Linked DNA regions of Caenorhabditis elegans. The protein of the gene in region 3 purifies or fractionates together with the protein of the main gene of each other region. This does not show direct contact. Each region holds a gene or a part of one and is shown on either strand. Other genes may lie near its edges.

What was found.
Region 1: the proteins of pld-1 (region 3) and her-1 fractionate together in Caenorhabditis elegans (co-fractionation; one large-scale study listed by BioGRID). This does not show direct contact.
Region 2: the proteins of pld-1 (region 3) and arf-1 fractionate together in Caenorhabditis elegans (co-fractionation; one large-scale study listed by BioGRID). This does not show direct contact.

Annotation. Positions count from the first base shown.
Region 1 is NC_003283.11:9,694,671-9,699,812, reverse strand, and holds the start of her-1 (Protein her-1), read right to left. Parts: upstream 2,799-5,142; 5' UTR 2,685-2,798; coding exon 2,542-2,684; intron 2,493-2,541; coding exon 2,380-2,492; intron 1-2,379. Other genes in the region: ZK287.7 (RNA_ligase domain-containing protein), read right to left, coding at 5,127-5,142. UniProt on the Caenorhabditis elegans protein: Dictates male development. Probably plays a direct role in cell signaling during C.elegans sex determination. Inhibits the function of tra-2a.
Region 2 is NC_003281.10:5,713,409-5,718,550, reverse strand, and holds arf-1 (ADP-ribosylation factor 1-like 2), read right to left. Parts: upstream 2,437-5,142; 5' UTR 2,436-2,436; coding exon 2,288-2,435; intron 2,215-2,287; coding exon 2,104-2,214; intron 2,005-2,103; coding exon 1,796-2,004; intron 1,711-1,795; coding exon 1,633-1,710; 3' UTR 1,007-1,632; downstream 1-1,006. Other genes in the region: rbm-26 (C3H1-type domain-containing protein), read right to left, coding at 4,403-4,435, 4,482-4,619, 4,673-4,804, 4,851-5,142. UniProt on the Caenorhabditis elegans protein: Small GTPase involved in protein trafficking between different compartments. Modulates vesicle budding and uncoating within the Golgi complex. In its GTP-bound form, triggers the recruitment of coatomer proteins to the Golgi membrane.
Region 3 is NC_003280.10:5,089,531-5,094,672, forward strand, and holds the start of pld-1 (Phospholipase), read right to left. Parts: upstream 2,161-5,142; 5' UTR 2,107-2,160; coding exon 2,019-2,106; intron 1,884-2,018; coding exon 1,711-1,883; exon of another isoform or gene 1,666-1,710; coding exon 1,539-1,665; intron 1,493-1,538; coding exon 1,348-1,492; intron 1,300-1,347; coding exon 1,171-1,299; intron 906-1,170; coding exon 791-905; intron 743-790; coding exon 237-742; intron 114-236; coding exon 1-113. Other genes in the region: C04G6.2 (DUF281 domain-containing protein), read left to right, coding at 3,717-3,786, 3,971-4,078, 4,197-4,338, 4,394-4,586.

The DNA.
Region 1 (5,142 bases), on a different chromosome or scaffold from region 3:
TTGCGGACTCTTTTATGACGACTGTAGATCGTAATTCCTATACCGTATGGCAGATCTAATAAGATGAAGGACCAAGCACACCTGGATTGGGAGGTGTAATGAGGAATAGAAAAGCAAACTGTACAGGGGTGAGAACAAGAAAATACTTATTCAATATTTATTAGCTGATGCCGTGCATTCTGATATATTTGTAAATAAAACAGATTGCTCCCGGCGGCACTTAAATATTTTCTTTCTAACGAAAAATGCAAGATGTCAAAAGAAAAAAAGCAACTGCTCTGCTCCTGTAGGACAATTGTTGCAGGGGAGTCTCCCATCTAATCAATACACCTAACAAAAGAGTGAGTCAACTGATAAAAGGATAAACATGCAAAGATATGGTATCAGTGCTCGCAGTAGAACACTCTTTTATCTTGGAGAGATAACACGAGAAAGATCAAAACAAATTATGAACATTATCAGAGAATTCAAAGACATTGTTATCATAATTTTTATGTTTTCATAAATCTATTAAATGATCAAATGAGTAGGCGAAATTAATTTTTTTTTAACATTGTAGAGAACAAGTATTGAAAAATATTAGAGCCAAATTCAATACTGTAAAGTTTTTTTTTGGCCATGAATATCTCAAAAACAAATAAAGAAGCCTATTTTAAAACTTATGTTAAAACGTAGCCCTAATAGAATTCTGAACGAAAAACGTAACTTTTTGAGGCTAAAAAATATATTTCTAAATAGTTTGAGGGTTTGAAGAATATCTACTCTCGAAACATGATGACAGGTGGTACGCAAGACACAAGGGTCCGTCTATTCTCCCTGCGCAATACCAATTGCCTGCACAACCCTAGGACAATTGAACGGACCACCTAGAACAAGTTGCAACTTTAGAGTTGAATATCTCAAAAACTGAGCCTGAAACATAATCAAAAAGTTTTTCTAACAAATAGAGCATGTCAAATTCTTTTAGAAAACTTGGTTGTTACATTACCAAAAATTTTTTGTAGATGCTTTAGGTGTTGTCAAAGTGATCCCTATTTAGTTGAACAAGGTTCCAATGTTATTGAGGGAAATATTACAATTCGAAATGGAAGAGGAAACTATTTACAGGAAATCAAACATTATTATAGATATGAGAAAATGTTTAAATGCTAGTTGATAAGTGTTATCAATAACTGGAAATGTAGTATGTTGAAGTGAAATCAAATCAGGAAACTATAGAGAGCTTAAGTTGCTTCAAAGACACGGTATCCTTGACATTTATCACAAATTTACTGATATCAGTAAGCTTCAAATTGTTAAAAGCCTGACCGACTTTGAATATATCGATCGAGCGTATGGTGGCGACTGCCCAATGCCCGAAGCCTTGTACCTCTCTGCGCACACATACGCACTATCTTCCTCCTCTTACCATTGTCTACGTCATCGTACTGCATTTTTTCTAATTTCTAAAATATCGAAAAATGTTTGAACAATTTTTTTACTATATGATAACATCTCGTTCTGCTGTAACTCGGATTATGGAAATGCCCAACATTTGCTTTCGAACTTAGCGGTGAAACTTCAATTTCCAGTTTAATTTCACATTGGCAGAAACTTTGTTTCAAAATTGGTAAAGTATTCGTTTTATAATTTAAAGTGAAAAAATAATAGCCCTTATGAATTATTCGAATAATCATTCTATCATAGTTATAATTGATTTCAGCAAGAGAGAGCGCGAACATTCTAAATTGGGGTTAGTTTGAAGACGTTTTACGTGTTATTAAATAATTTTTCAAATGATAATAAATACTCAGAAACAAAGACTTTAATTTTATCTTTGTTTTGGTATACTTTTTAGTATAGGTTGCAGGCTCAGTTTTTGTGATATAACTCCTCAAATTCAGATATTCTTGAAGTCTTGGGCGCTTTCTTCAAATATTTCTCCCATACATTGCATGCCATTTTTAAATTTCAAATAGTTAAAGATAAGTAGTAATAATAATCTTACTCATGAAAAATTTCAAACGCTCTCTCTTTACTTACGTTCTAACTATTATTTTGAAATCAGAGAAGCCTCTGATGATTTACTTTGATTTTTTTCAAAACAATTTGAGGCAAGAATATTAAAAAAAAAATGTTCAAAATTATTGAAAATTTCCAAAGAGTATACGAATGAAAGAGGCAGAAAAGATATTGTGACTTTTCAATGCGTGTGGTCTTTCTGCCTCCGGCCAATCAATGACCTCACGGGCGGGCGCTATGCCACCGGTTTCTCGATTTTCCTCAAGTTAAAACTAACTTGTACATACCGTATTAGTCATTTCCTATATTTCTTAAGAATAAACAAAACTTGATATCTTGGCTTGTGAGGAGAATTTTACCTGAAAAAAAAACGCTCACCATCCAAGTTAATCTTTTTCTTTGGTTCTTTTGCAAACAACACATTTTGAAGACATTTGTAGACATATCCGGGTAGCTTCGGATCCCTGTCATAACCACATCGAATTGGGGTTCTAAATTATACCGATTATCGCATTGTTCGTGCTCGTAAAAGCGGTTCACCCAAATTTCATAATTTCAATGCAACATTCTTGACGGTTTCTTGTACAGCATTTCTCAGCTGCATCTTTGATAAGTTCCTTTGTTAATGTAGTTTCCGTATAGCCAAATGATCCGAGAAACACAAAAATTGGGAGATATCTCATAATGCAACGTAAGGAAAGGGAGGAGATTTACTACTGTAGGTGGACAAGATGCGCTGAGAAAATAGAAGCAGAAGGTAGGAGGAATATGAGCAAGAGACGACTGGTGGGTTCAGTCAGGAGATAGGCATCCCTGCAGTGTCATTTGGTTGAATGATGGATATAGAACCTGAAGAGACTTAGATACTCAAAGAAAGTTAGACAAAGAAGGTACATACAGTGCTCATGTATGCTCCTAAGATATAATCTACTCTCAGAAGCTGAAGAACTGGTCCGTTGTTTCTGCTTAATATATAAGAAACTAGGCAAAACTATACTAGAAACTAATTAGTTCATGTTTGAAACATATCTGCTCGTCAGTGACGTCACTCTCAACAATCTCATTAAATCCTGTAAATACAACTCCATTTTTTAAAAGATATGAAAAAATGTATAATTTAAGTGTTGATTTCACAGAATATGATTATTTCTTTGAAAATATTGAATTGATTGAGAGCACCTCTCAATCTTAAATTATGTTTTTTAGAAGAAACTTTCATAAAACCCCAGTAAATGTTTCGAAGAGCCCCTCGCCGAACAATTTCCAATTAATAGATATCTTTATTTTCGATCACTATGTTCCAATTTTGTGCCTTGTCAACTTTACTTTCATATCTATTTTCAAGGTTGAGGATTAATGCCGTAGATGATTGATACAATAGTTTTACAAAATAAAGTTTATCAAATTATACTTTATCGAGCATACTGTAACCGTTCTATATGTTCCAATTGACTTCATTTCGTTTCAAACATGGTATGTTCCACCTTTGACGGTAATTGATATGATAAGGATTGCCAAATTTGCGAATATCCTGCATAACAATTTGTTAATTGTCAGATTGAACTACCAAAATACTCATGAGACAAGAGATCAAAAGAGCAAGATTGTAGTAATGATAGAACGAATAACAAAATAATCTTCTTCAGTTTTAATGTTCCTTTAAGGTTCAGATTGAATACTCTTTAGTAACTCTTTAGAGTAATATCTCTTAATAACTCTTAGAACTCTTTAGAATAACTCTTTAAAGTATTGTTCTATATCATTTTAAGAAATGAGTTGTATTCTATGGCAGAAACGTACCGAATCGTGAATTGGTTCACTTTACTTTTTTAGGTCTATCTAAGATTATCAATTTACTTAAATTTGACTATTTATTCGTCTATACTTTTCAGCTGAAAGTTTCAGATCAGAAACTGATTGAACATGCAAAGATCTGTCAAAGAAAACAATGTATTAAATTAATTTACAGTTTCAAAACATATTTTTATCAAATTGATATTTCATTTTTTAGTCAAATACAATTCCTTTATCTTACTTCGTTGTCTTCCTATCTTCTCACAACTTACCTCATTCTAGACAACACTCGATATCCCGAAGGGCCATTATATTGCCTGTCTCACAGTAACTGAGTGTCTGCAATTGTGAGCAAATGCTATTGCATGTGCGTGATTCACTAAAATAGCATAGGAGATTGAGTGACTTAGAGATCGAATGCGCGGGAAAGAAGATCAAACGAGTAGGCGGTGTGGACAGATGACGTGGGTCTACAAGTGTAGCTACAACCGAGCACAATAAAGGCAATTCAGGGAAAATAAGGATATATAATGGTGTTGAGCTCCGTTGATGCAAATATATATTGCTACATTGAATTTTATTTTCCTGGCCCAAAAATAACTATCTGTTCATCAATATAATTAAGAATTGGAATCAAAAATTACTTGGAAAAAATATATTTAGTGTTTGAAATTTCACGATGACTATGTAGTAATGAAAATGAGAAACTTGTTAATTTTTCAGATACAATGGAAAATAATAGTAAGAAAAAATATTGCAACTGTGAATTAGATACATTCAACATATTTTTTAATCAAATTTATTACGAATTTGCGAACTAGAAATTCTCACGTTTCAAAAATTTTCAATAGAGTAATCTCAAAGAGTCATGCGCCTTTAAAACCAAGTAATACAAGCAAACTCATTTCTCTGAATGTTTTGCCATTTTGATTTGATTTTTTTAAATGTTGTAATTTCTTGATATCCAATATTTCAATTCAAATATTCAACTGCAAGGTTTTCATTTCTAGAAATATCTATTCAAATTATGTCTCCATCAGTACCTGAAAGTTCAAATCCGATGCCAATCGTAATTTCAATACACTGTTTAACGTTTCAAACTGAACCGAGACATCTACCGTAATCCGTAAACCATTGCAACGGGATGAAAGAGAAATTTTTCAAACCCAGGGTGCAACGGCAGCAGTAGAAAGAGAAGAGAAGATGATTGAAAATTTATGGCAGAGCGACGTCAAGAAAAATTGCGTTTTATTAGTTAACAAAGAGCAACAGACAACAACAAAAAACTGACAAGATTTCTTACAATAACTGAACTAATAAAATTTGAGATCCTAAAATACGACATCT
Region 2 (5,142 bases), on a different chromosome or scaffold from region 3:
CCACAAGATGGGACCATTTGGAGGATATTACATGCTTATGATGAGTTGCACAACTATAATTACTGTACTAGAATTGAATTCCTCAAGTTTAGTTCAAGGAGACAAAATATTCGTTTATTATCCATATTGTATTTTATTTTAGTTTTTCAGTAAATGAATATATTTGGTCTAAAATTAAAAAAAAAAAAGAAGCCGCCGAAATTTTGGTATTTTTTTGTGTTATAGGTACGCCAGAGAATAAAGATCCTGATTTCAATAATTGTAACAAAATATTTGTGCAATTCAGCTATCATGTTTTATTCGTTATAAAAACTTGAGATTGTTAACGTAACTTCCCCTTTTATTCAAATTTTGCTTGAATAGTTGCTCAGTCAGCAGAGATAGTATTAGGGTACAGTAAGTATATAATTGGATTACTGTAGTTCCATTAATTGTGCAATTTAGGTGATTTGGAGAGGTTATGAATTGGAATACGTCTGGGAATAGTATCAGGGTACATTAGAAGCACTGTAGGATTACTGTATTTTCAGTGTATTACGTGAACACTGAGAATGCGCATTGAGCAACATGTTCGACGCGCAAAATATCTCGTAGCGAAAACTACAGTAATTCTCTAAATGACTACTGTTGCGCTTGTGTCGATTTACGGGCTCGATTTTAGAACATAATTTATTTTCGAATTGTGACCGAAATATTTGAATTTCATCCTATTTTTCTTTTTTCTGTCATTCCGAGTCAAAAAGTGAAAAAGAACAAAGCAAAATCAGACCATGGCTACAGTAGTAATGTAAATAATTTCTGTATTTTTCGCTACGTGATATCTGTGCGCCAGACAAGTTGCACAATACGAAATTCCAGAATTTAGTTTTTCCGTATTAAAAATTTTTGCACATAGTATAACGCCTCATGTGTTAATAAATTACCCTTAAAAATTAACATTTCTTGTCCAAATTGAGGAAAAAGATCATTTTCATACTTTCATATTGTCATTATCAACAGGTGAATATAACATAATAATTTACTCCACGACAAAAAAAATGGTGAATATGATACTATAATACGGAAAAATTGAGGAAAAGCAAAACAGTGTTCGATACGAAATAGAAGAGAAGCGAAATTAAAGGTTCGAGGGGAAGGGAACGATGAAAACGAGATTTGTGTGTAGGTTTGTGTGCAATTACGCGCAAAAATCACAAAAATAGAATAATGGTTCAACAAGAGAAGAGAAACACGTTCATACTTCTTCTCGTTACACAACACTGTTTCAGGGAATATTTGAGGGAGATGGAGGGCGGAGCAGGTCAAAAATGGAGAGAAAAACAATGAATAACTTACATATTATTCCCGTCAGGAGCGGTTCCAAATGTAATCGGATAAGAAAAAATGTCGGATTTGGAAGTTAAGAAGAAATAGACGACAAATGAATTGGGGCTTTAAATAAAAATTGGGTTGAAAAAGTAGAAGAGGGCGATGGTGATCAAATTAAAAAGCCTAAGGGATGGGAGAGGGAATTTCAAATGGAACAGAGAAGAACAAAGAGAATGAATGGGGAGAAGAAAGGAGTTGAAACGAATAACAAAAACGGATGATTCGTAGTCGTTTATTCGTCGAAGGTGGATTCAGAAAAATGATTTAAGATCTATTCTTGAGCTGGTTGCTGAGCCAATCGAGTCCTTCATAGAGACCATCTCCTGATGTCGCACATGTGGCCTGGAATTAATTTATTATTGAAAAATAGTGAATTTCTTTAGTTTTAAAATATCAGATGAGAAACTGCTGATTAAAAATATCTCACCTGAATATACCACGATCGATTTCTGAGCGAGTGGAGCCCGAGCTTGTCAGTGACCTCAGCGGCGTTCATGGCTTGTGGAAGATCTTGTTTGTTGGCGAAGACCAGAAGAACGGCATCACGAAGCTCATCCTCGGCGAGCATACGCATCAGCTCTTCACGAGCCTCTCCAACACGTTCACGATCGTTGGAATCAACAACAAAGATAAGTCCTGCAAGAAAATATAATCAATAGAGCATTTTTTTTGGACAGTCTGTGAATTCTTGCGGGTGATAAGCTGATCCGCAAACTATTCTCGTAAATCACTAACCTTGTGTGTTCTGGAAATAATGCCTCCAGAGTGGACGGATCTTGTCCTGACCTCCGACATCCCACACGGTGAATGAAATGTTCTTGTATTCGACAGTCTCCACGTTGAATCCTGAAATATGAATAAAAATTATGACTCATTGTGAACCGTTCTTTCGCAACAAAAAAACGTCCCAATGACTCACCAATAGTTGGGATAGTCGTGACAATCTCGCCCAGCTTCAACTTGTACAAAATCGTAGTCTTTCCGGCAGCATCCAATCCAACCATCAGAATACGCATCTCCCGTTTGCCGAAGAGGCCTTTAAATAAGCTGCCGAACACGTTTCCCATTCTATAAATTGATTAATAAATTAAATTATTGAATTTCAGAAGAGGAACCGATGGAAGTGAAAAGGAACGCTAATAAAATGTGAAAGCTGAATCAATAATCTTCGTGGGAAATTGCGAAAAATTCGGGAAGATTTCAAATCCAATACGTGAAAATGCCAGCAACGACAATCGGAGAAAAAAGTACGGAAGACGATTGGAAGGAGGAAGAATCGGGTAAAACGTGGCAAGGAGATGGATATCTATAACAGGCGCAAGGAGCGAGAATCCAGCAGAAATACATCGGCTACACCGTCCAACGTGTCACTAGCACAGCAGTCTCTGGCGACCAGTGGAGTGTCTCTTCCTCTCTCAACCTCTCGACGCTGCTTTTTGTCTTGTTCGCTGGGCGCGTCGCGTGCGTTGCGCAGCGGTCGAATAAGAGGAGATAGATGGCAATAAGTGAAGAGACCGAGACGTGAAAGTACCGCAAGAGATGAGGAGAGAGCGAAAAAGAACAAGAGACCGTCCAAATTTGTCCGCTAGTGCAGGACGGAAGGATGAAGAACACATACACACAGGAACGAGAATAGTAATGTTCGAGTTCCTTCTACTGACTCCACGTCAGCCGTACGTTGAATCTTTCAATCCTTCAGTGAAATCTTGATTGATTGATTGAATGAACCCGAAAGTTCTAAAATTTGAACTTTGAAACAAACTTTTTCGAGTGATAAGACGATAAACTGCAACATTAAGAAAGTGATGAAAAATGCTTTTTGAGAGAAGAAAAACCTATTGAACGCGAGCGCATTGTTGAGAAATTTTGAAAATCGTGACGCAATTAAAAACTCTGAAAAAAGGACACGTGTCACAAGAGTGCAGCACGAGATACTGTGACTAATAAATAGAATCAGATGAGAAAATTAATATTAAATCAAATACAAAGCGCCAAACTTTCTAAATAGATGACCCGCATTTCCGACTAAAGCAATGTGGCGCTTCTGAAGAATGTGCTGGAGAAAAATGAAAGCTTAATAGAAACCGGCCGCCGCAGACAGTATAGATCAATGCCTTTGCGCCAATCTAGGATAGTTCATCTTTCCGCCTTTCAAAATGCCGAGAATTTCTTACTTTCTGCAGTAATTATTAGGAGTCACAAACCTTGATTTTCGAGCTTTTTGCGTTCAAATTCGGAAATAAATGAAATGACGATCAAATCAAAGATAAAATGTGACGATTGCAACGTCGAAGCAAGAAAAATTGGAGGAATAAAGTTAAGAAAGAACAAAGAAAAAAAAAATTAAAATCATTTATTTTCTGGCAATTCACGGCTAAATACGACGAAAACACACCGGTTTCCGCAAAAATACCTGTGTTTTATTGAAAATTAACTCGTTTTTTACTCGTCACTCGGGAGGGGCTCTTTTTGTACTCGTTCACTTTTCAGTGGCCCGTCTTTTATTCTTTCGCTGATTTTTTTTCGAGATCACAGCCATTATGTATTCTTTTACTTTATTTTTCTCATTTAGTGGAGTTATTGCTCTCTTTTGCTCTTTTTTGCTGGCTTTTTCATCAATGAGATATATCGATAGAAATAATGCAAACAACAAAAATGAACGAAAAAATAATGGGAACTTGTCAAGGAATCAGGTAAAAATCAATAATCATTGCGATTCTGAACAGATCACATGACAAGTTCTTAGCCAAGAACAATAAAAAATGAAGATGAAAAAGTATTGCCAAATGGGCAGTTAAACTGAAGACAATTAAAGAATGATAAGAGAGGAAATGTGATAAATTATAATGGATATACAATAGAAAAAATCGAAACAGTTTCTGATAGGCAACAATAATAAACGGGAAGAAAAATTGAGGTAAATCTGAGGTTAAATAGGCTAACCAGCCAGATAACTAGAAAAGTAACCATTTGGAAACAACGAGTAAGATCACCAAGACAATATTTTGAGATCAAAGTTCTAATATAACTAGGACTAATCATTTAGCAGGTCATCTTCTTCGTCAGACTGAAATCTTTTTTTAAATTTAATTTTCAAGTGAAAACCAAGTTACCTCAAGATTGCTCGGAATTGCAGCGAGCAACTGGTCGGCAGACATGTTCGTATCAGTTGAAGGGATCTCCTCGATTCGCTCCGTCTTCAATTCCATCTCGAGGTCCACACCATTCAGAACTTTGCCATCCGCCATTGCCTAAAAATTAACATCTTATTTAAAATCGAGTCCCGTTTAAACTGAAAACTCACTTTCAACGCATCACCTGTTTTTCTAAACGGAAAAACGGCTGTTATGAGACCATCGTCGTCGGCTTTAACACTGTGATCAAAAACCTCACCGAACTTCTCCATATGTGCCATCAAATCAGTGACCAATTCATCCTGGAAATAATGTGTTTTTAAAATCTACAATTTAAAGAAAACTCACTGTTACACCTCGAACGATGACAACACTGCTCATTTTAGATTGGGGCTCGTCTCCATCGCTTCCTGCTTTTCGCTTCCGGGTCGAATCGTCCGATTTTTGTGGATTTTTAAGCTCTTCAATTTGGGCTGCAATCTCATCAACCACCATTGACTTTTCTGATATTTTGAGCAGGATTCCGTCGACTTCTTCCTTGCATGCCTTTATTTTTTTATGCAGATGTTTGACCAATTTGGTTGCATTCTTCTTATCAGTTTCATCAGTAGACGTTCTCGCCTTGATGAGCAACTCCTTC
Region 3 (5,142 bases):
TTTCTTTTCCTCCAGCTGCAACTTTGAAATCACGATCCATTAGCAATACCATCCGAATCTGCTCAGTTCGATGATCCATATATGCAACAAATGAATCACGAACCATAAGCCATCTGAAATTGTTTTTATTAATTTTATTTCGATAAAAACGATAAAAGGTGTCGATTTTCAGATTTTTCGAATTTTTGGATTATTACTGAAAAAATCGAAAAATTTTGACCAAAACTTTTAATAACCTTTTACTCCACGGTAGAAGATATCGTACACAACATTGCTTCCATCCAAGGAACACTCTCGAACCTCCAGGACGTTTCTTGACAAATCCTTCCGTATGTTTTCCACCAAGCTCATTGACAAATGAATATCTCGAAACCTCCAAAAATTCAGCAGTTTCGTGATGATTTCTGTTGATCGGAATGTGAAGAACCATTTGGAGCCAGTTCTCGAGAAGCTCTTTACGATGCTCCAAATTTGTTACCATCGAATCAGGCATCATTGGGAAACGTGGAAGAGTGTGCCGATCCTTCTTTCTCTGTTGACGTCGCTGCCGTTTAGGTGTTCCTTCGGATGTATTAGCCTCATTGACAGTTTCATCGAGAATTCCAGATTGTACAGCTTGCTGCATGTGAACTTCCTTTTTGAATGCATCTTCTACTTCTCCAGGTGATTCAACTGATGCTAGTGGAGCAGATGTATTCTTTGATTCTTCAATTCCATCCGAATCACGCTTCAGAACTTGCAGCTGTAAATATTTAAACTTCTTTATAAGATAAAAAACTCTTAAAGATACCTTCGGATGTCTCTTCCGTTTAGAGCTTTGATTTGAGTATGGACACTCTGGCTTGTGATCAGAAATAATATCAATACCCATATGCTCCAAATAATTATCGAATCGCTCTTGTGTTCTGAAAATAAATAAAAATAGCAAAATACATTAATTTGCAGTTATAATTTCATACAAAACAGTCCAAAAACAAGCCATTCAAGTCTAAAAATAAACAAAACAAGCACAACAGCGTGTAGAAACTTACTCATCCTGAACTTTACCACGAAATCTGAATGGGGGTTAGTCTTAGGTTAGCGATGGGGTGAATTGCAAGAAAAAAAGCTTCAAACTTATTATAAAAGGTGTAAAATGAGAAAATTAAAATAAAAAGTGGCAATTAATACCTTTTAATTGGTGCCATAAATTGTTCACGAGCACGATGTGCCATGAGACGATTGTTGAGAAGTGTGAAATCTTTGTAGTTTCTGATGACGCTCCAACGAAATTGTCCATGTTCCAGCTCGATTGTGTAGCTGAAAAATGTTGATTTTTCAATTTTACTTCAAAATTCTCTAACTCACAGAAGTGTATTAATAAAGTGAATTCCCCGATCCGTATTTCTCTCGACTTTTACAATTTTCGCGTTAACCGGAACTCCTGGTATCCAATATCCTCGACGACGAGCTTGCTGTTGAGTATCATAAATTGACATGTAGGGAATGATTCCTTAACCAAACACGTTTAATATGAGTAATTTTTAAAGTAATAATACCTTTTCTTCCAGGTGTTCCGGGAAGAGATTGCTGTAAAGCAGCAGCAACACAGTCACAATATTGGATCTCATCGTCATCAGAACTATCATCACTATCACCATAATCCAAGGACTGTGGAGAGGATACCTGAAAGATAAATATCTAGAGTTAAAAAAGAAAAGTTGCACTTACCTCATCAATGTGAACTGTTTTGCTGTCTCGTCGGACATTAAGGTTGCTTGGCGGACTGTCTGCTCTTCCCTCGTGTTCTCGGAACCGAATTACAGCTTTCTTTTGTTTATCTGAAGCTTTTGTTGCTGGCAGGAGTCCTGGTATACCACGGTCATGCATTACAGATGAGTCGACTGAAAATGAAAAAGAAATTGGAAAATGTTGTTGACTTTGGTGTGTTCAAGAAGAAACTTTTTGAAAAGAGAAGGAAAAGTGCAAAATGTATTTATGAATTCCTTGTGATTTCTGATTTTCACGGAAAAACTAACCTGAATTATTTTCAGTTGTATCTTTCGGTTCCAGATGACCACTTGATGTTGTCTGAGGCCTCCGCGACTCTTCATCTTCGCTCTCCATATTTCTGTCTTGACTTTGAATGGTCAAAATCAGACCGGAGTGCGGGTTTTCTCCCTGAAAGAATAAAAAGCAAGTTTCTCAGAGTTAATATTTCTTGGTTTCGTAATCTTTACAAGTGCGAAACATGAAAAATGTGATGAATCACTGAACAAACTGTAGAAGTGTGGAAAAAAAGAGAAAGTTGGCTGTGAAATGGCAAATTGGTAATAGGAAATGAAGAAAATACTGTGATTCATCTTGAAAAAGGTTCAATTTTTGTAGTTTTATATTTTTATCAGTAATATGTTTGAAAATGTGAAAGAAAAACACTCCTTGAAACAAAATAAAATAAACAATTAAATTTTTTCGAAAGATTCCAAAAAGTAGTCTACCGTACTATTTTAAAGGCGCATGCACATTGCCAAAAAATTTTTCTGGTTCGTTGCGAGACCATCGGCGCCTTTTGTAGAGAAACAAAAATGTGTTTTCGATGGAATTTATTCGTTGTTGTTTCAATTTTGAAAAAAAGCAAAAAATGCAATAAAAAAGACATCAAAATTGCAATAAATCATATTTAAGAATAAAGTCGATTTTTTTTCGAGAAAAATACCACGAAATTTCCTCGAAATTGATTTTTAAAATTGTTCTTTGCAGTTTTCTCCCATTTCGGGGACTTCAGAAAATTTAAATCGAAATTCACAATTTTTCAAAAAACCTGATACAAGAGGTTTTTTGTGTGGTTTTTATTCTTGACGATTCAAATGATAAAAAAAGATAAACGGCAAAAATCTTTCATATAATGTGAGAAAATCCCACGCGGAAGCAACTAATAGCGGAGACGGGGTCATTCGCGCACTCTATCTTTGTCTTGTGCCTCTCCTACACCAGTTATGTCTCTCCACATGCATTTTTACTTTACTTCTCTGCGCCATCTCTCCGGCGCCCGTTCTTTTAATCTCTGAGGCGCTTGTTTACATGAGCCAGAACCATTGTAAAACCACATTATATTGATTGTTCTTCGTGTGAATGTGGTGATATTTGATGCAGAGAAATAAATGATTTTAAACGAAAATTACTGGCTACAACTAAATAAGTGGCAGGCCTTAATTCGTGCGGGAAAAACAATGCCATGTTGATTTTTTTAGAATTTTGAAGAGGAAAACGGAAAAATGCCTTGCATTGAGTATGATATGAAACGCGAAGATGATAAGAAGAAGATGAAAAGTTGGTTGGTGGAAACAAAAAACGTGGGCAAAGAAACATGTAAACAGCTGTTCGTTTATCAGTTCAGAATTTATATTGAACACATACACCTAGGTAAGACCTTAACATGTTGGTTGTGGCCATACTACAGATCCTAATAAAGTGATAGTCATTGTTAGATATTTTGTTTTCCAGAGGCAACCCATGGAGTACCTAGTGGCGTAATTCGATTTAAAAAAGTCTGATTTGATCTTTGGGTATGTAGGAAACCCGTAATAAACCCAAATCCATACCTTCTACGATTTGAGATCATCCACGAATACAGAAATCGGTATCATTCGCACATTGAAACAGGATATTGAAGCGATGTTGCATAACACTAGACCGATATAAAATGAATTGTAGTCTGAGGACATTACAGGGACAACATGATCGCCTTCCTTTTATTCTCTATTGTTAAAGTCGCTATTACATGTATCCCAACTCAAGAAGTTGAACGTAAGTTCTTCGCAGTATTTTTTAATTGATGGAAAATAAATGTATTAGCTAAATATTTTTTTGAATCTTGTATCGTAAAGTTATTGAGAAAATTATTTAGAAACCTTTTATATAAGAACACTGGAATGCCTAGAAAGAATGTTGCATAGTAAAAAATTTGTGGCACAACTTGCTTTAATTTCAGCTATTGACCCAGTCAGCACTACTACAACGACATCTTCTACAACCACCACAACTACTACAACTACAACGACGGAAGCAACTACAACAACTCTAACATTAGCTCCGAACCGTAAGCGTTTCATGAAAAGCTTCTAAATTTTAAAAATTCGAAATTTGTTGGAGTGTATGATAATTGATGATGTGAGATCACTGTGAGTATAATTAAACTACCCTAAATCACTTTCTAGCCTGCACAATGTGTGCTCCAATTTACAATACTGGATGCATGGGAGTTGGAATGCCAAGTCCCACAGATTGGTGTGTTATTGGAGATGATATTCCCGTTACTTATTCACTTGTAGATGATGGTGCAGGACTTATTAGTTGCGAGTGAGTTATCATAAATGTTTCACAATGCCCTAGTGAACACTGCTTTATATTTTAGAACGACATTACAATGCCCAACTGGAACATTTGCTTATTTTGTAGCAGGAACCGAAATGCAAGGAAGCAACGGAGGCACTGATTCATACACAGTCAGCTGCGAAGAATCGGGTGGTTTTTATATTGGAATATGGCGGTTAGTAATTGGTGGGATACCTACTCCAATTACTCAAGCAACATGCAGAAACATGTAGAAGTGCACAAATATTGATGGTACTTTATGAAAGTTTCAAGATGTTATGGTTCAATATTTCTAAAATTATACAAGATATAATAAATATTGATATTGATGTCTATTATGTTCACTTGGAACTAGACCGCACTTTTTTGAACTGCAAAAATTCAAAGACACTAAACATCATTGCTTGTTATGAATCGAAAGAACAGGATATCATTTGGTGCGCAAAAAGCTTGTTGCTGCTTCACCTGTCCGACGCTTGATCAAAATTTGTTTCCTTAATTTCATCGGCGCTTTATGCAGGTGTAAGTTAATTAAACTCTATCCATATTTTGAATCGACTAACATTTTCAAAAAGTAAGGTTGCTGGCAATATGCCAGTGCAAAAAGGATGCAAAACTAATTTTTGGTTGGATCGTAAGGACGCAAGACTTATAGTGAAAATACTATATTTCTGCTCAAACAAAAAGTCGAATTTTGAGCTTCAAGCATGTTACACGTGACTAATATAAAAATTTGATACTTATTGCAATGTCTCCTCCAACAAAGGATGAAGAACGTTTTTTCGAATC